Linked DNA regions of Oreochromis niloticus. The protein of the gene in region 1 interacts with the protein of each later gene in a pairwise test. Links are inferred from orthologs where the notes say so. Each region holds a gene or a part of one and is shown on either strand. Other genes may lie near its edges.

Evidence for each region. The genes of interacting proteins can lie anywhere in the genome.
Region 2: the proteins of histone acetyltransferase KAT5 (region 1) and apbb1 interact in binary tests that used the Homo sapiens proteins (3 or more experiments, as listed by UniProt). The link is inferred for Oreochromis niloticus from reciprocal best matches to the Homo sapiens genes KAT5 and APBB1.

What each region holds. Positions count from the first base shown.
Region 1 is NC_031975.2:11,843,023-11,853,195, forward strand, and holds the start of histone acetyltransferase KAT5, read left to right. Parts: upstream 1-5,689; 5' UTR 5,690-5,798; coding exon 5,799-5,828; intron 5,829-5,908; coding exon 5,909-5,975; intron 5,976-6,680; coding exon 6,681-6,749; intron 6,750-7,072; coding exon 7,073-7,211; coding exon of another isoform or gene 7,212-7,249; intron 7,250-7,799; coding exon 7,800-7,872; coding exon of another isoform or gene 7,873-7,878; intron 7,879-8,406; coding exon 8,407-8,565; intron 8,566-8,662; coding exon of another isoform or gene 8,663-8,665; coding exon 8,666-8,740; intron 8,741-10,173. Other genes in the region: abcg4a (ATP-binding cassette sub-family G member 4), read left to right, coding at 1-102. UniProt on the Homo sapiens protein: Catalytic subunit of the NuA4 histone acetyltransferase complex, a multiprotein complex involved in transcriptional activation of select genes principally by acetylation of nucleosomal histones H2A and H4.
Region 2 is NC_031979.2:28,795,308-28,805,637, forward strand, and holds the start of apbb1 (amyloid-beta A4 precursor protein-binding family B member 1), read left to right. Parts: upstream 1-6,050; 5' UTR 6,051-6,219; intron 6,220-6,806; 5' UTR 6,807-6,828; coding exon 6,829-7,459; intron 7,460-8,023; coding exon 8,024-8,229; intron 8,230-8,314; coding exon 8,315-8,374; intron 8,375-9,192; coding exon 9,193-9,272; intron 9,273-9,347; coding exon 9,348-9,414; intron 9,415-9,667; coding exon 9,668-9,814; intron 9,815-10,115; coding exon 10,116-10,243; intron 10,244-10,330. Other genes in the region: integrin-linked protein kinase, read left to right, coding at 1-77, 171-280, 500-627, 834-955, 1,040-1,139, 2,519-2,649, 2,769-2,918. UniProt on the Homo sapiens protein: Transcription coregulator that can have both coactivator and corepressor functions. Adapter protein that forms a transcriptionally active complex with the gamma-secretase-derived amyloid precursor protein (APP) intracellular domain.

The DNA of each region.
Region 1 (10,173 bases):
GCAAAGCTTTACGTGGACTTCATGGTGCTGGGGGTTTTCTTCCTGATCCTCAGACTCGCCACTTACCTGGTTCTGCGCTACAAAGTCAAGTCAGAGCGTTAAGACGTCCAGAGGCACATTGCTAATGGATATGGATGCTCGTGAATATCCCAGAAGTGTGAGATAGTAAGAAAACCTATCGTCTCTCTTTTTCGGTTTCCACATTACAAAATCAATCGAGTATGTGCTGCACCATTACTCAAACACAGATTGAAAAAGTTTACTGATAAGAAAATGAAAAGTTTCAACTGTGAATTGTTGTTCCCTGCACACCGTTACTGTATGCCAGGTAATGGTCACCATCACCTTTCATAAATACAATAAAAATATTGTTCAGTGGCACCATGAGTGGACAGAACGTCCCCCAAAAAAGCAGATCGCATGTTTCATTAAACTGAGAATTTTAAAAATGTACTTTTTTTGGTGACTCCAGGAAAGTGTTTGTAACTTGGAGCTTCTTAATCCAGTGCCTAAAAGGTATTTCAAGGCCCACATCAGAATCTGCTTAATTGACACAAAGAACAGCAGCCATCAAGATGACCCTGATTTCAAGTCAGATCCTCTGTTATAGCCAACAGAAAAGTGGAAGCCTTTTTTGGGGCTCATCTCTCTCTCCTGTAGGATAATCTTGTCAGGTATCCTTACCAAAATGCACGGCGTGGCGACTTGTCTTTATGGAACAGAAATCGACTGCCAGTGGATGACTCTCCTCGCTGTCTGTCTCCAGCGAGGATCATTTTCGCAGGCCTTCTGCCCCAACGCTCACAGTGATGGGACACTTTGCCTCGGATGAAGAGCTTGTGAATATGTTAAGCAATGTGTCTTACACAAAGACTGACATGGATTCGCCCCGCATCCGGCCCTAACGACTCCTTACTTGCTCCTGCACGTGTTTGCTTCTGCCACAACTCGGGAAGCATTGAGTGAATTGGGAGCGACACGTGAAAGCGAGTAAGCTGTTTGCAGCCTGATGCAGCGGGCCGTCTTCATCGCAGACAGAATAGCATTTTAGGTGAAGTGCAATAGCATATATTATGGCTAAAAAAATAGCAAAAAAAAAAGAAGAAGAAGAAGAAGAAGAAGAAAAGTGTTGTTTGTCTAATCAGTGTCGCTCTTTTGACACAGTTCTTTGAAATGCTTGTTTCCACTCGTATGACTCTTTAGCTGCCTCCTCCCTGAGCTGAAAAAGGAAGTCCCCTCCTCCTTTCCTCCTCTTTCTCTCTGCTTTGCTGATGTCTGACAGATGCGTGTTGTTCAAAACAATGTTAGATACTTGAAATGCTGGCTGGGCGGTTTTTGTGCCTCTGAACTAGAATGATTTGAGTTTTCTCTGCTTCCTTGTTTGCACATACACTACACCTTATATCTACATACATACTGGCTCTCTATTTCTCTCTCTTACACACACACACACACACACACATGGAAGTACATTACACACATATACACACACACACACATCACCATGGCAATGTTTAGAAGAGCCTCTCCTAGTCACAGGGCAATGCAAATATTTTCCAATAGACTTGCTATGAAATATTTCTTACTCCAACTATGCTACTTAGTAATCCTTATTATAATACTTCAAATAATGTGAGTATATAATCAATGATTGTACAGTGAGTATGTCATGCTGTAAACAAATGTACATTTGCACTTTTCAGTGTATCTTTATTGTTTTTTCTTATTTATTTGTATTTAGTTTTATTTTTTTAAACCTACAAGATGAGTGCTGCTTGAAAGCGCAACGGGGGAAAGAAAACGGCACTTGGATGTTGCATGATCATCTTAGGAGTGAAATTTATGAGATATTAAATTTCAGAGTATGGGACAGTGGTTTGATTTCCTCATCCAAACATATCTGTCCCGCCACGTTTGAGGAGATGCAAATCCTCCGCTCTCCAGTGAGCATTTCTTTTAGAACATCTGGAGTCACGTGTGCGTCACTAGTGCGGCTTAAAGATGACACGATCAGGAGTGAAAAGAGGTGACTGTACGAGACGTCTTGGATGGAAGAAGGCAGGGATACTGAACAGAGAGCCAAATATGTCATTATGTAGCTAAAGAGGTTCACAGTCTCTTTGGGAAGCAGCTGGATTGGAGAGCGGATCACTAATCACTGATCTGCTTCGCTGTTCAGCACACGCACAGAGATGGCTGTCATTAATAGCAATAGTTCACATCGTGATGTTTACGAAACCTCCTGCAGTTTATAAGGTTTATGTTCTTCTTACCGGTTCTATTATGTGCAATAACCACACAAAGGCAACTCTGTGAGACCAATTACATGAAATGTGATGCTGAAATCAGAGCTTTTTTTGTCGTTGTTGTACTTTCGTTGCTTGTGTTCAGTGACAAAAGCTAATGTAGGGAAATGGATTGTCAGAGTGATTTAACCTGAAGGACCAAAGCGGGATCATAAAATTTATTCTAATATCAGGATAATTATAGAAAAATGCATGGAATGAAAAAAAGGTGTTTAAACTCAATTTTCCTACAAAAACAGATGAGATGTGTTTTAAGTTTCTCTAAACTGGAAGCAGAAACTTAACTGCAACTCCAACGACAACCAACGGACAGTCATCAAGTCATTGAACAGTCTGGGGGAGTTTGGGGCTTAGATGTTAAGCCCCGCGGTACCAAAGACGAAAACAAGTCTCCCTTCTTCTCCCCCAGAATGTACATGCAGTGTCCAATGTTCCCGTTAATTTTCTAACCAAAATAAGTCCTCTGCGGACACATTAACGAAGTCTGTGGTACACTCAGTTTGTCTGGTAGCATCCCTGATTAGCTGATTATAAATGAGGTATGGGAAGATGTGAGATATGTGTAAGCGTTATGAAGTAGCTATGGAAGTGAATTTGCAGGATGCAAGGTCACTTGAGCGCATGTTGACGTCACACTGTTTGCTCTTTATCACTTTGTTAAATCATTTCACAGCTTCATCCGTTTGCTCATAAGAAGCCACCAGGCTTATTGTGCACTCGCATGGTAAAGAGTAATATGCAGGCTATCCCTACAGAAAGCTTGGACTGTCTGATTAAAAATGTGTGATGGGATTAGAGGTAGTTGTTTTATCTGATTTATGGCTTAGAGTTTAATTTCTGATTTTAAAAAAATGCAAGTTCTGTATACTGAACGCTGTTCCGAGGATTATAATAAAGATCATTTATAACCTTTACCCTTTCTTTGTGAGATGATTTGATCGGACACTGATCGCTGATACTTTTTCCATAACCATATTTATACACTGATGAGTAGCAAACACTTAATTATTTGTGATTCTTTCCAGTGCTCAGGAGTACACTCATCATGAGCATTTTCACAATACTCTCTTAGCTTTAAATTTACATTAGAGGCATTTAGGTAACCCAGTAGTAGCTTGGCTGCTGTTTCGTGCCATGTATTGATACGAAAACCTCTTGAAACAGCTTTTTCAAATACACTCTAGCTGGGGCTACTAGCCCTGGTAAGAATGGCAGGTGTGCTTTAAAACATAAATCATAAAGCTGAGGGGCGTGTAGGACACATCAGGAAGAACCAGAAAATGATTTCCACATTTTATTGCACATTTTATAGCTCCGAAGCTCCCCAGTCCTGTTGACTCGGAGGGCAGTAATTGCAGACGGGCACAATGTAGCAGGATGAGAGGGACTGAAGTGTTTCCACAGATGTACATAATGGGTTTATCCAGAGTGGTGAAGCAGTTCAGTCATAAATTACATTCCTCATCTCAGCAGAAGGTGACAAAAGAAAAGCAGCTTCAACGTAAACGCTCTTTTTCCACATTCACTGGGAAAATATTTAGTTGGGGCTGAATAGGAAGCTAGATTTCAGACTTAATCGACTCTCATTTTTTTTAAAATAGGGAAAAAATACATGAATAAGCATGAAGAGAGAAGATATTCCTTCATTTTCTTTTGCTTATCCAGTTCAGAGTTGTAGCGGGGCTGGATCCTGTCCCAGCTTTGACCGGGTGAGAGGGAGGTTACACCGAAAACATAAAGTTCTTTGAGAGTGTTGCACAGCCTTAGAACGGACTTTAATAACTTGAAGATGATAAGGCTCTGCGTTAGCACCTTGAGACAAATCAGCGCACTCGCTGGCCAACAAGGCAGCACTATAGCTAGTAAAGGAGCTGCCTGCCTGCTACTTTGCTCACCTAAAATCCAGCAAACCGAACAAGCAAGGCAAGTTAGACTTCACGACTGTACTCACAATAATGGGGTCATTGAAGGTAAATGCTAGTGTGAAATTCTAATGTGTTTCACTGTTTGATAAACTGGTCAGAGATGAAACTCATTAGGTAGGCTTGGCGATCCCAGCAGGCCCGATATCCCATGACCTCTTACCTGCAATGATATATAAATAAAACACATAAAAGTGGTAGAGGCACAGCATTAATATTCTTCAACTCCCACTGAAGCTTTATTTAATGAACTACACGGCCTTGAAAGATAAAGACGGAGAATGATAACACAGCTCTCTGCTGTTAGAGCTCTGTAAAGTGCAGCTGGTGTTTCAATGCTTGGAGGGCTCTCTGAGTCTTCCCTATCACCACACAGTGAAGATGATGTTCAAAAACACCTCATGATAAACTCTTACACAGCTACCTGCAGATCTGTAGGCCCTGATTAAGGATACAGTCATTTGTAGCATTTAATGAAATGCAGATGTGGCTCTAGAAGTTCATTAGAAAAGAATGGTGGAGGTTGCATTAGCTTCACTGGACTGTGCCTTACCAGGCAGTAAGTGCAAAGATGTGCCTCAGGTTGCTAATGTGGACCTCCACAAAGCTGACCACATAACTGAGCATGCCACGCAAGGTTACTTTATGATGAGAGACCGTAGTTTTCAGTAGATGGTAAAACTTCTAATTACAGGGACGAGATCTTAGTAATCAAAAAAGGGGTCACTTCTTTTTTGACAAAGTAATGCTATATAAACAAATCATACTTGGTTAACAAGAATTTCACTCACATGTGCTGTACCAGTGTACCAGAACATGTGATGTGACAATAAAAGTGATTTGATTTGATTTAATGAATTCAAAACAGTACAAACAGCAGTTGAATAAAATAAATAAAAATAATAATAAAAATTAAATAATCAAGGAAGCTGAACACGTTATTGTTTTCAGTTCAGTTTAGTTTAAGTTAGATTCCACAGTTTGCATACTACTGTTTTAATTAGTACCTGCATGATTATTTAAGATCAGTACAATGTTCTGATACAGACATGTGGCTTCCAGTCATAATGATACTCCAGTATCAGTAGACATACTGGTTCATGCCAGTTTTGTTGACAAAATGTAATCAAATTGACAAAAACTAACTATTAAAAAATTGTGGTTTTTTTGGTTAGCTTTTTGGTAGATGCTATGATTCTTATAGTAGTTTTCTTTTTCCACTAATAAAGAAATAAATAGCTGTCCATTAGTCCAAATTATAGGTTATCATCTCAAAACTTTGACTCACAAACTTCTGAGAAAATAACTCAGAAATGAGGGGGAGAAAACTTCCCAACTGTTTTCAGTTACTTTACAAAAAATAAAGGTTTTTTTTTTTTTAATTCATTTTACCTTTAGTTTTTCACACTTTTATGCCAAGGGAATCGACACAGAAACATAAGCAAAATCCCCCCCGCTTAGCTTCCGGGTTGGTTTTCCGCGGCTCCTTCTGGAAGTTTCATCTTGCCGTATATTTCATCTTTGTTGTAGACCGGCATTTTCCCACAACACCCCGCTCCTGCTCGCACAGATGACGAAAATGGCGGACAACTCATCGTCGGTAGGCTTAAGAAAGATATAATGTTAATATAGGCACATTGACCGGTTTCAGAGTATAAATTAACGTGTTGTTATTTACAGGTCGAGATTGTGGAGGGCTGTCGCCTCCCGGTTCTTCGTAAAAACCAAGAACACGAAGACGAATGGCGTAAGTATTGTCCGTTTTTCTTTCAATGCTAAGCTAATGCTAAGGAGCTCAGCTCAGCTGTTGTTACCAGAAGCCACGGCCTCCAGTTAAAGCGCTGTAAACACCATGGCCACAGATGGTGCATGCAGCTGTAAAGTGTGAATGAATTAAATTTGAAGACTTAAGAAAGCTGCTGCCACTCTCTCGGAAATTAAATTGCCAACTCTTAAATTTGACTTAGTTTCACGTTTTGTAGAAAAAAAAAAAGTACTAAATGCAGGTGGCATCAGTGATGTTTACAAATTTGAGAGCGAATTTATCAGGTTATCTCTCTTACTCTCTTGGCACTCAGTTTGGTCCATAGTAATCTAACACTCCTTTTTAACACATTTAGGCAAAAATAAAGAAAGAAATTAACGAAATTAAAGCACAGGTGGTATTTAAACCAAATTTAATTGGGCATCGCACTTAGACTTTATAATCCTGATACCTCAGCATAAATAATTACATTTTAGGACATTTAAAATCTCCCATTAAAGTAGATTTTATGCACCTTTGGTTTATTTTTAGCATTGAAATCTAAACAGTAACTTTTATCACATATCACATGCCTGTGTATTTAATGTTAAGTGTGTTAAAGCTCCAGTGTTTCATAGAAAAGCATCACAACGATTGTCTTCATTTGAGTACAGTTCAGATAAAATGTGACATCTCTGCTTTGTACAGCACTGGCTGAAATCCTGAGTGTGAAGGAAGTTTCTGGGAGAAAGCTCTACTATGTTCACTACATTGACTGTGAGTATATTTTGTGTCAGTCGTCTTGGTTTTTCTCAAGATTTGATTCACAGCCCCAGTTTAGTAAACATACATCAAAGCTAATTACACCTTTTAAGGTTTGTTTATTAAGTTGTTATCTAAAATTGCAAAGCAGATTTTTATTTATCTAGTAGTTCATTGATTTTTTTTTTTTGTCATATTTGGATCAATTCAAAATTATAGCTTTGTACCACATAGCTTTTGATTTATTTATTTTTTCACCCACCGTTTCCTGTCATGCTATAAGCTAAATAACTTCACACATCAAATCACCACTCTCTCTCTTTGTCTGTGTATTTAAGTCAACAAACGTCTGGATGAGTGGGTCACAACAGAAAGGCTGGACATGAAGAAGCTTCAGTTCCCCAAGAAAGATGCTAAAACACCAACCAAGAATGGTCTTTCAGGTTCCCGTCCTAGTTCTCCGGAGGGAGGGAGAGAGAGAGAGAGAGAGAGAGAGAGAGAGAGAGAGAGAAGTGGTAAGGAGTCCACGTGTGATTTAAAGCAATGTAATTATGATTCTCACAGTGTTAAGAAATGACGTCAGTCTTAATTTCTGTGTTGTGTGGTTTTTATTCATTTTATAGAAAAACCTGCATGATGGTAAATTTCATATTTGTTGCTGTTCACTTCCATTGATGCATGGTATAAGCGCTGCTTTCCATGGTCACTTTAATAAGCTGCAGTGTGCTTTATGCTGCTTGAGCAGTGATTTGTAACAGTCTACCCACAGGAAATGCAGCCATAATAACAATAAAAATATAGATAAATAAAAGGGCATCATGTTATAGAGGACCCTGTTTTTAACAAAATATCAATATCCTCTTTTTTCAGTCTTACATTTCTGTGTTAATACTTCTTTGTGTCTAATTTTAAATCAAACACATGCCACTGAAATGGTGAAACGCTCTTTTTATGACTAAACCTTTAGTTCGATTTTGTGTGAATTGAATTCCTCAGAATTAACCTGAGGGTTAACATGAATTATGCCAGTGTTAACCCGCTTCCTTCTCTTCCTTTCCGTTCAATTCAGAGGAAGAGTCTAGATCTCAACGTACAAACTGCCACAGCTCCTTCCAGAGGCAAAACCCTCCCCACTCCGGTACAAGTAGAATTCACCCACTCCACAAATTACTGAGATCTTTTTAAACCTGGTGTCAATGTGATTCTTGTGTGATGGCCCCACTGTTAATGTTGCCCTGCATGGGAATATAAAGCTATGCAGAGCTATAAGGTAAAGTAAGTCACATCTGAAAGACGTTTAATATAGAGTGTATCCAAATGAAGATTTATAATAGGAAGTGAAGCCCATCTGTTGCCATCACATTTAATACCAGGTTTAATGGGGTGTATTTACATTGGTTAACCTGCAAATTATCTGAGATTTGGAGAAATAAATTGATTTGCTGTGGCTATTAAAGATGCACAGTCTTAGTTCTGTCTGCATACAAACTGCTGAAAAAGCATCTTGATATCAAGATGTCACTCTTCATTGAATACAAATGGAGTCCCCTGCTTTTAATCAAGCCTCTGATCAAGTTGACATGAAAAAAAAAATCCCATCAAATTCGCCTTTGTTTGGTTTGTTTGTATTCGATCTTAAAGCTGAATGTCTAACACTGTTTGTTTGCTGCAGAAGAGGAAAGTAGAGCCTGCCCCTGTGGCTCCTCAGGTACCCCCGGTCACCCCTGTGCCCTCCCTCCCAAGTTCAGCTGAAGCCACTCAGGCAGCTGTTTTTCCTGCCGTGAGAGAGACGCCCACCTTTAAGTCCCGTGAAGACCATGAGCTCACAACGGTAAAGAAAATCCTCTTAAATTCTCTCTCTGTGTTTTTTTTTTTTTTTTTCTTTTCTCCTATTTGCTAATGAATATCTTTTAATGTCCTACTCACAGCAGAATGGCAACGCCCGACGACTCATCCCTGCTCCACCTGGGAGGAAAAGGAAAGCTAATTGTGGGGGAACTGACGAGGTACGTTACCTTGATTTACTGCATGTTTGTGGTCGTGTTATTCGCTTTGTTTTTTAAATTTGTTAAGAGTCTGTGTTGGGTTTTGTGGAGTTGTATTAGAATGCATTTTGCAAAGTCAAAATGCATGTGCAGAGTGTCACAGTCCGCTTACTGGAGCATTCTCCGGTGCAGCTGGTGACATTCATTAAGACTGGTGCACGGTTCTTGCACAAGATCTATACTGTTGTAATAGGACATATTTGTTTTATTATGGGGACCTATTGTGCTTATTTCCAGCACCATATTTTAATTCTTGGACTTTATTAAAGTAGCTTTGCATGATTCACAGTTCAAAATAATGCTTACTTATCCTGTATGGGGCCCTGGTGCAGCCCCTGAGTTCATCATCTGTCTGGAATGAGAATTATTAGCCTTGTTTCTCCTCCATTTAAGTCCGCTTTCTTTTGATTGGCTGCTCCTTGCCAAAAAAATGTTTGAGCAGCAGGTGGACGAGGTCTCCATGACAACTAGCTCATGGATATCCTTAGCAATGCCGCTGTCATCACGCGGATTTAAGAGTAGAAAAACTGTCTGAAACAGCGTGTGAGCTTTTGCCTTACAGCAATCATTTGTACATATGTTGACCTTTTGAACTCTGGCCAAATTTATTCTGACCATCCACATCTGTAAAGGTGTGCATATACGACAGAAAATAAGGAAAAGAATAATCGCTATCCCCCCAAAAAAACTTTGTCTGTACCCATATAAAATGTCAACATCACTGCACAGGATTCAAATGTGATAAATTATTGTTCTCATGTATTTGTTTATAAACCCCACGTGCAATCATAATGATGAAAATGTTTTGTTTTTTTTAAAGATTGCTTTGTCATTCTTTAACTTCCCCCTTTCTTTACCCTTTATATATATATATGTGTGTGTGTTTCCCTTTTCATTTCTCACCCACTGTTTCCCTTCTGACCACCACAAAACAATTCATTAGTGTGTTTTTATGCATTGATGTGTTCTTAGCTCGTTTTTATTGTGGTGTTTAAAGCAGGGAATTACATTTGCAGCTATTTGGTTATGGCTTGTTAGCTTAACGACCCTCCTGAAAAAGAACTTGCTCTTTATTTATTTATATTTAGGTTGTTTGATTACTTTGTCATACATTTCATTCTAGCTAATGGGCACAGTAACATATATGCTGGCAAATATTGAGGACTGTATGTTGTGCTTTCATATATTTTTATTTTTCAGCATCAGGTCTGGTTAAATTCTGCAGCTTTTTAAAATATTCAATGAGCATTTCATTCATTCTCCTGTGTGGGTCTATGTATTTGAGTTGATGTGTGGCTCTTTAAAAACAAAAAAAGAAAGAAACTATCCTCTTTAAATGAATCTGACCAAGATCTTGACACCACATTTTACCAGGAGCCTGTAATTGTAATTTT
Region 2 (10,330 bases), on another chromosome or scaffold:
CTTTGAACAAACAGGCAGGCATTGACTACAGACAGCTTTCTCTAGCCCTTAAAGTAAACGAGAACCAGTCTGGAGAGGTAATTTCTTCTTGTGTTTCATTGTGCTCGACGTTAATGCAGAACTGCTAATGATGAATTAAAGATTCACTTTTTTTTGTTTCTCTTCTATAGTTGTGGCAAGGGCGCTGGCAGGGAAATGAAATTGCCATTAAACTGCTAAAAGTTCGTGATTGGACCACTAGGAAAGGGAGAGACTTCAATGAGGAATATCCCAAACTCAGGTTCTTATTTAATCCTGACTTTTCTCTACAGGCTCTTTCGTTTTTTGCCTTCGCAGTCACTCATTTGTCTGTTTGCACTGTCTTGAGCCAAATTCTGTGTATAATTTTATTTCGTGGGGAGGTGCATCTCACACTTTTTATGTCAAATCCTTTGTGGATTTGCCTGTTTTTGTCTGTCTGTCTGTCTCCCCTGTCCTTCCCTCTTGGGCTGAATCCCAGGATATTTTCCCATCCGAATGTCCTACCCATGTTGGGAGCATGTCAGTCTCCTCCCGCCCCTCACCCCATCATCATCACACACTGGATGCCTTATGGCTCCCTCTACAACGTGCTGCATGAAGGCACCAGTGAGTACCTCTACTCTGGTCACAGGTCCATACTTGTCACCAGTTTGGGTGATTTGTAGGGATTTGTGATTTATTGGACTTAAGTATTTGTTTTGGTCATTAAGTTGTCATCACTTTTTCTACAGTAGCAATTTCACTGTCATCCAGTAATGTAGTGAAAGACATGGCTTAAACCTGTTATTACTTGTTCTTCATCATGCTGTCAGATTTTGTGGTGGACCAGACACAGGCAGTCAAGTTTGCCCTTGACATTGCTAATGGAATGGCGTTCCTACACACACTTGAACCCATGATCCCTCGCCATTACCTCAACAGCAAGAGTGTAATGGTAAGAAGAAGAAAACTACGAAGAAGAGATGTGTGGTACAGTTTTTGGAGGCATCTAAGTCAATTTTGTTTTCCCTTTTTACAGATAGACGAGGACATGACGGCGAGGATCAGCATGGCAGACGTCAAGTTTTCCTTCCAGTGTCCTGGCAGGATGTACTCGCCAGCATGGGTAGCCCCTGAGGGTAGGCATCAGTCATACAGCACAGATCCAAAGTGACAGCTGAAGCCACACAAGCTTGCACTTGAATGATGGATGCAGGAAACTGTAGACTGTCTCTGAGCCAAATGTAATTTGCAGCTGATTTCCCCAGGAGATAGATTGAAATCAAAGTTAGCTGGAAACATAAACTGATTACAAAATGTGAAAATAACCAGGGAACATTTGCAACGGAGAAGCAAACAGAAACGGCGTGTGGGGGATGGGATACAGGATATTTATCACCACCAGTTACATAGAAACAACATGTATGTATGTTGTGATATGCAAGCAAATATTTCTTGTGTTTAAAACACAAATACACAGAGTTGGCATGGTAACAAATTTTGATAATATGCCTTTATATTCAGGAATTTTTTGTAATATGTAATAATAGAAATGCACTACTGTTTCGAATTTTCCTTATATTAGCAAGTTTGCTTATTGTATCATTTTGCAGAAGAATTGCAACAATATGTTTCTACTGCTTTTGCAACATGATGATATTTACATTTCAGTCATTTCTAAAGGATTATGGAATTTGGTTTAATGGCTGGTTGGTAATTGGTTTTAAACAGGCTGTTCAATCTTCAAAGAAACATGGCCACTTACACACTTACAGAGGCATGAGTTTAGTTAGATTTTACTTTAGCCTGGAATCCAAGCTGATGTATATGCACTAACTTTACAATAGGACTAAACAGATGGCACAAGACACTGTTGTTGAAGTAAATGTATTTAAGCTGACATTAGGTTTGTGCTGCGCTTTGTATCTGTAACCTGCTACCTGCCTTTGTGAAATCAGCTGCTCAAATGTCTTCAGTTTCTCTTCATCTCCAAGATTTGGTTTCCATAGCAACATATACTGTACGATGCTAGATCACAGGCAAAAAGCCCACAGAGCTCCATGTTGTTCAAGCTTTTTTTTTTTTTTTTTTTTTAAGATAAATACTGAACTGTCGTGCAAAATACATTCCTTAGGATTCCCCACTTTATACTGTATACTGTATATATTTCTGCTTCTCTGCTGCTGTTTGTAGGCAGACACTAGTTTGCAAGAGTGGAAACAGAAATTGCCTCTATTTTTTCTAATGCAGTATTTTTTTGGACATTACTTGCTGCAGATTAGTAGACCATTGACTACTATATTTTGTACCTGAGTTCTGCAGACTCGTTGACATGACACTGCATGTGACACAAGGTGGTGATTTTGATCAGCTATTCATGATATCAAATTAGGCACATCCTAAGGAAGGAACCGCCCCACTAGTTGCAATAACTTTTCATTTCTCCACAGTAGTCTGAGGATGTGGCATGTTGTTACGTTACTCTATAACCTTCTTTATTTTTCTTGGCATTGCTCAGCCCTTCAGAAGAAGCCAGAAGAGATCAACCGCCGGTCAGCAGACATGTGGAGCTTTGCTATCCTGCTGTGGGAGTTGGTAACCAGAGAAGTGCCGTTTGCTGACCTGTCCAACATGGAGATAGGCATGAAGGTTAGCAGCACTGTTGCTTATTAGATTAACAACTGGATATCAGCAGCTTGCAGACAGACCTCACAATTATGACCTGTTAGTTTAATGGATTTAATGTGTCTGTATGTTCTGGGTTATAGGTTTCTTTGGAGGGGTTGAGGCCCACTATCCCCCCTGGCATCTCTCCCCACATTTGCAAGCTCATGAAGATATGCATGAACGAAGATCCAGCAAAGAGGCCTAAATTTGACATGATTGTGCCAATTCTGGAAAAAATGCAGGACAAGTGAAAAAACCTCTTCTGACCTTCTTTACCTAACCGATGAACAACAGGATATCTTAACCCAGATTTGACTCTGAGATGTTGGTGTGGTGCTTACCAATATTGCCTTAAAGTCTCATTCTCACCCTCTACCGCTGTATTCAACGCCACTGTACCTTCTGCTTGTGAGATGAATTCAGCAGAAATCACTCCTTTTTATATTTTGTTTTTTTTCTTCTTCTGTTAGTGATATCAAAGTTTTATTACAGTTTTTGTTACTGATCTGCTGACACTGTCTGCAGAAGCATAGTATTTACTGTTCACTGTATAAACTGCAATCATATTGAATTGAGTACAATCTCAAGTGACAGAATAACCTGTGGAGGTCAGCATGATATTCTGTTGAATTCCTTCTGTGGTGGGCCTGCCATGCTGATCCTCGCTGTATTAAAAAGTCTCCCTCTAAGGTGACTGCTCCTTTTGCAATGATGGCCCATAACAAACGGATAACATATTAACCCAAAGCTTGTGGGAATACGTTTGTTGTATTAATATTATCAAATGTTTGAAGCTGAACATTTAAATGTATTAGATAATAAAACAATATGAATGAGCAGTGCCCTTGAGCGCACGTACAAAAAGCAGCATTGTGCCTTTTAGCTGGGCTGCATAGTGGTAATGATGAGCTTGGCCTTTTCGTAGACCGACTATATCCTGTGCAACCTCCCAATGATTTAAAACTGGCCATAAAAGCTTTTCTGTTTGGAGTTTTTGGGAAAAATTCACCCAGAATGGAATGGAATTCTTGGTAATTGTGTTAATGTAATCGGCATTACTTATTTGCTTAATCTTTCAGTAATTGTTATTTTTTCCCTGATACATTATTTGAATCCTGTTTGCTCTACTGTTGAACAAAAACGTCAGTCAGCTTGTGTCATCATGTATGAAAGTGTTTGGGCTCAATGCTGACATTTCTTTGTGAACCGACGTGAAAACTGCATCCTATTATGTAATTTATTAAAGCATAAGATAGATACAGTCAAAATTAGGTGTTGTCAGGGACACTTCCCCCAGTTTCTTGGTTGTCATCAAGGGTTTGACTAAACATGTGTTTGTGTTCGCTCATTTGTTATTTGATCCACTGGATTACTTCTTGCTTTATATCCCACTCAAGGTTTTTTTGTTTGTTTTACTTCAGTCTTTTCTGTGCCTCCACCAGCTTGCTTGTTTGTGCTGAAGCCAAAATCAAGAATGACATATGCAAATGTATGTATTTATATATAAGTATATTAAAAAATAGAACATATGGACAACTTGAATGTGGGCATTTTCTGGAGGGAACTGGACATGACAGGGTTATTGTGGAAAATGTATAAAGATTGCAAATAGATCTCTTTAAGAGAGGCGACATAAGTTTCAGGGTATTGACATTTAAATGTAACATTCATCTTATGAGGAACAGGGCTTTCTGTAGTATTGAGTCTCGTTATCTCAGTCAGTATCAGTATCGACATACAAATTTGATCAGAAATGTAAAACATCAATGAGTAGTATGAGGCAATAATAGAGTTAAGGGTTTATCACTATTTTAGAAAGCATACTTTCCCAGTATCGGGCATACTCTCCAGGTACACCTGTTTAACTGCTTGCTAATGCATATATCTGCTATCATCCAGTGCATTTAGGCATATGAACATGGTGAAGCTTAGATAAACCTGAGCATTAGAATGCAGGAGAAAAATGATTTAAGTCACTTTGAATTTGGTGTAGTGTATGGTCTGGGGAAAAAAAGAGCAGCAGTTCTCTGGGCGAGAATGCCTTGTTGATGACAGAGGTCAGAGGATAATGGCTTGGAGCTGATAGGAAGGCAGTAGTAACTGAAATAACCACTCACTGCAACCAAGATATGCAGAAGAGGGTTTCTGATTGCACAGCAAACCTTGAAGCAGATGGGCTAAAGCAGCAGATCGTGTCTGGTGCCACTACTGTCAGCTAAGAACAAGCAACGGAGGGTTTGGGCTAACCAAAATTAGACAATAACAGTTCTGATGAGTCTTGATTTCTGCTGCAATATTCAGGCCAATTACTACCTTCACCACAGCCTGAGTCTGTTTACTGACCATGTTCATCCCTTTATCACGGCAGTGCATCTAGCAGGATAGCATGTCATGTCCCAAAAGCTCAAACTGGTTTGTTGAATGCAACAATGGGTTCTCAAAATGGCCTCATACTCACCAGATGTCAGTGGAAAAAAGCACCTTTTGAATGTGGTGGAACGAGATTTGCATCATGGATGTGCAGTTGACAAACCTGCAACAAGTGTGTGATGTCAGTGTCATGTCAGTATGGACCAAAATCACTAAATGTTTTCAGTACTTTCTTCATTTAAGGCCAGTTTTTCTTTCAAACGTGTCCAGTGACATGTAGCAATACATTGTTATATTCAATTATATAAGTGGAGTTGAGACACCTAAATACAATTGGCTTTTAAAAAAATATGTTTCAAGCTTTTACCACTGCTACTACTCAGCAAAGTATTTTACAGTGTTGCTTTAGTACTTTTTTGGCCAACGGATGTTAACACAGATAAAAGCAGGGCTTATTAAAAAGTGCTCTGCCAATATGAATATGAACATTTAACGCATTTAATGTATCAATCCATATAATGCAGAGACAAAAAAATGGAAAAAGGCCCCAAGGATCCATACACCCAGATGCAAAAAAAAAATAAATAAATAAAAAAAATTCACTCATTCTTTTTGTATTTTTGCACCTTTTTGTAACCCTTCTGTCTTTGTGGTGCGATTTTGCAGCTCTTTATTGATTCTTTTATTGCGTCTAATGTTGGCCATTTTATTAATTTCAGGTGTTTTGTGGTCACTTTTGCATCTCTCTGTAGTTGTTAAATTCAATTTGAGCCTGTTTTTGGCCACCTTTTGCGTCTTTTTGATGTCATCTTCATCTCCCTGTGATTATTTTGCATGCCTTCTTTTCTTATTTTACTTGTTATGGTTTCTTTCTGGGTTAGACCGGGAGCTGTATGTCCGTTCGGTAATCCCCCCGCTCAGCGCCTAATCAATATTTCCAAAAACAGTGTGAAGGACCGGTTTTCCTTCATTAGGTCTGCCTCCTGCTCTGTGCCTGAGTGGCAGTAGTGGGCTCTGGCCGTGACGTTAATCCGTGACGCAGGTTCGTCCTCCATCACTAGCCGAGCCCACTGACAGAAAACACCACCTAGAAACCGAGCGAGAGCCCTCACGATCTGTGGAAATATGTAGTTATTCTACACATTTGAGCGCATTTCGACGACAAAGGAGTTTGGTGAGCTGGTGAGTCAACATTTTTTAATAAAATCAGTGCTGCTGCAGTCACTTTGCTTCTGCAGTTTGGAAATGTTAGCTAGCTAACCGAGAAGCTAACATTAGCCTAGCAAAGACGTCGGTGATGGCGGACGGTGCCCGTTATTTCCAACTGCGGCGATGGTATCTAACAAGTAAAACCACGGTATTTACCTAGGTTTTATTAAACAATCATAGGAGCGAACCTAAATAATGACCCAGGTTGATACAGGCTCTTTACTGGGGCCGTTTATCTAAAAAGGAAAAAGGTCGTGTTGGCAAATGGAAGGTGAAGCTGCTGAAGTGCGTTTTGTATTCGTCAGAAACCAAACAGAGAAAGTTGCGAGTAAAATGACCATCCCGGAATACACGAACAAGAAACAGACTTCATCCTTCATATTTAAACGTTATTAATTCGCTGATAATTTAACATTTAACGGCGACTGTGAAACATTTGAATACATTTGTATCAAGCGATCGTTCTATATTTGAGAAACCTTGATCAGAATCTTTGCTAAAATCACTGCTAACTAGTATGCTAAAGGTAATGCTAATGTATTTTTCCCCCTCTCTATCAGAGCAGGTACATGGACAGTTACCATGGGTGGTCATGATGATGAAGATATGACATATGTTGTGAATAAACAGAAGCAAGACGAAGAGCTAAAGAATAAGCTGAATGACGGCAGCCACTGGTGCGACCAGGAGTCCACCGGCAACAATGCCAAGTGGGTCAAGGAAGGCCAAAACCAGCTGCGGAAAGTAGCGGAGAACCAGCAGGACCAAGACCACAACTGCAATATCAATCAGAATGGGAACAAGGAAGACTTCCCTCACCAGAACACCACTCAGGAAGATCAACAGGGTAACGAGGAGCAGACCAAGTCTCCCAAAATAGCAATGACCCCTGGTCTCAGTCAGGAGGAGTCAAATAACATCCTTAATGAGCCGCTTCTCATTGACACCCTGGAGTCCACAGAAGAGAAAGATAAAGAGAGAGAAGAGGATGATAAAGAGAAGGAAAGTAAATTGGAAGACGATGAAGAAACATCAGGTGGCACCAGAGGAGAGAAACTGGCAGATGAAGAGAGTAATGTGGAGTCTCAGAGAGTGGGGAGGAACGCTTGCCTGCTATTTTCCAACATGAACGGGACACCAAGTGATGAAGAGTCCAGCTGGCCTGCTCTGTCTCAGGACAACACAGCTGACAGCTCTCCAAATGGCAACAGAGGTAAAAACTAAACTAAACAAAACAAAACACAGAAGGTGTTTAGACAACTTTATATGTTGTAGCTTGTGCAGATATTAAAAAATCTGAAGAATGCACTCTGTTTATTAGCATCATACTGCAGCTAACAAGAAAAGCCAAAATGGTCAAAATAGAAGCAACACAGGATGATTTGGCTGCTAAACATATTGGTAAAGAAGATAGACTCCTGGAAATAGTGAATTATCATCTCTTTATTTACATTCCAGTGTGATTGTCAGACGCTATACTTTATTACTTAAAGAACTAATTATTTTTAGTTATTATTAGTTTTAGCCTTTTTTTTTTTAAATACTGCAATATTAGGTTGGTGTTTTTTCTCAGGGGCAAAATTTAGAAAGCAGAACAGCTATTACATCTTCACCAAAGCTTCCCAAGGCTGGTCGTGTTGACCAAATCAAAAAAAGTAAAATGTTTATTTTACTTTGTTAATTAGATAGTTAATATGCATTTCCAAACAAAGGTTTAGCTTTTAGTTGAGATGACGTTACCTGTAGTAACCTTGGTCTCCTACTTCCCGCCCTTCAGAGTCTTTCTGGGATTCCAGCGCTTTTGAGACGGACACAGACCTGCCCTCAGGATGGATGAGGGTGCGAGATACATCAGGCACGTACTACTGGCACATCCCCACAGGCACCACTCAGTGGGAGCCTCCTTCACCGCTGGGTAAGGTTGGGGACTCCATGATGTCGTCCACGATGTCGCTGGAGACTACACCCTGTGAGGAACCTGAGGTGAGGTCTAACCAGCATCCTAATTTGACAGAGGCACTGACAAGTCAAACTGTTGCTAATGGTAAGTCTTGTCACATTTTTCCAGGAATCTTGGGCTCAACTGTCCAGCACTGATGAAGGTGCTGGTGAAGGGGAACTGTGGAAGGTAAATCATGGCTAGAGTTTTATTCAGCTTACCTCTTTGAGTATATTTAGTATGGATGTGCATAATGAGTCCAAAAGAAGATTAAATGTTGCTGTCATCGCTTAGTTAGACAAATTTTTCATTTTATGAATCTATAAGGTGGAAAGTAAGACAGATGTTCTGCAGTACTTTGATCTAGAACAAGGATAGTTGTATGTAGTACTCAAATAAATCAATGCTTAACTACATTCCCTGAAGAATGAAAGCTGTTGGTTAGCACATTTAATGTTATTCAGAATCTGCAAACAAACCTAGATAGTTACTAGATTCAAGATGGCTTATTGTCATTTCGAATGGTATTTGCAGAAATACACAGGCTGAAACAAAATGTTGTTTCTCGTCAGCCTCTACAGTGCAATAATCAATAAAAAATAACAACACAGTATCTAACAATCAAGCAGCAGGTTGCCAAGACACTCGGCAAACTCAGGTGTAAACATTCACATTAGGTAGCAGCAGGCCTCTCACAAAGAGAGTGTGCAGTGTTATGCCACACATTTCAGTGACATTTAAAATAAGATCTGACTATTAAAGAATATGATTAATGGCTTAAAAGCACGCTAAATACAAACAGTTTTTTATGGAGAATATTTACCCTAATTCATTAGAATGAATTAAAACTTGATTTTTTTTTTAAAACTTTAAGACTAGCTCACTGTTAAAAGGTTTGGCATTCTCCCATTTAAGACTAGTAACAATATGACAGAATTTACATACCTTACATGCACATACGCTCTGTGATTAAATGGCTCCATCTGCACATAAATGTTTGTCTTTAGGAGGAGGGAGAAGTTGCATCTGATCAAAGTCTGAAGGAGTTTGAAGGAGCAACTTTACGCTATGCATCTATCAACCTGAAGTATGTGGTGTTAAAACTTTCTAATTAGTCAGTGTTAATTTTGCAGATTTTTAACTTTATTTTCTGTCATTGTAGTTATAATTGCTCCCAGTCTGAGGATGAAGAGAAGCTTGCTCCACTCTGCACAGACTTAGAAACTAAGGTAAATCAACTGCTTAATTTTAGATTTTTTCAAAATGTTCAGAGTAGTTTGGTCTCAGTTTTCCTTTTAGAAATGCTGTCACAGAAAAGTGTCATTAGAATGCGTCTCAGACATCTAGGACATATGAAATGTGTAGAGGGGTTGGTTATTTATCTATTTATTTACCTACCTACCAAAAATTAATCGTTTTCTGCACATGAAATAATTTTTTTGTCCTAGTTTAAACTAATATGCAGCACATTTGTACTGTCAGTGTTTCGCAGTGCGCTCTCTGGGCTGGGTTGAGATGTCTGAAGAGGACATGGCACCTGGCAAGAGTAGCGTCGCTGTCAACAACTGCATCAGGCAGCTCTCTTATCACAAACACAACCTTCATGACACCGCTGGGATCTGGGGAGAGGTAAGATGATTGTAATGACACACACACACGCACACAGATATCTTCATGACATTTTATGTAATGCTCTTTTTTTAATAAGAACTTCTTTGAATGTGAAGGGCAGAACATGTTTCATTTAGTGGTTGGTTCCAACCACAATTTGTCTTTGATGGTTTGAAAATGATTGATAATGCTCCATTTCCATTTCTGAAATAGTGTTTTGAATTTCAGAGAAATACTTTAAGTACCGTGGGTAACAATAACATTTTGGAGAAATGTGTGCTTAGTCTGACTCGTCAAACTGAAACGTGTTTTGTGACAGGGTAAAGACATGCTAATGGTCCTGGAGAATGACACCATGAAGTTGATCGACCCGCTGGGCCAGACTCTGCTTCATGCTCAGCCGATTGGCAGCATCCGTGTCTGGGGTGTCGGCAGAGACAACGGCAGGTCAGTGTCCACAGCACAAGGCCAAATTGAAAATGGCAGAACTATAAAATGTATGTAACTGCCTTCTTCAATCAGTTTTGAAAACAA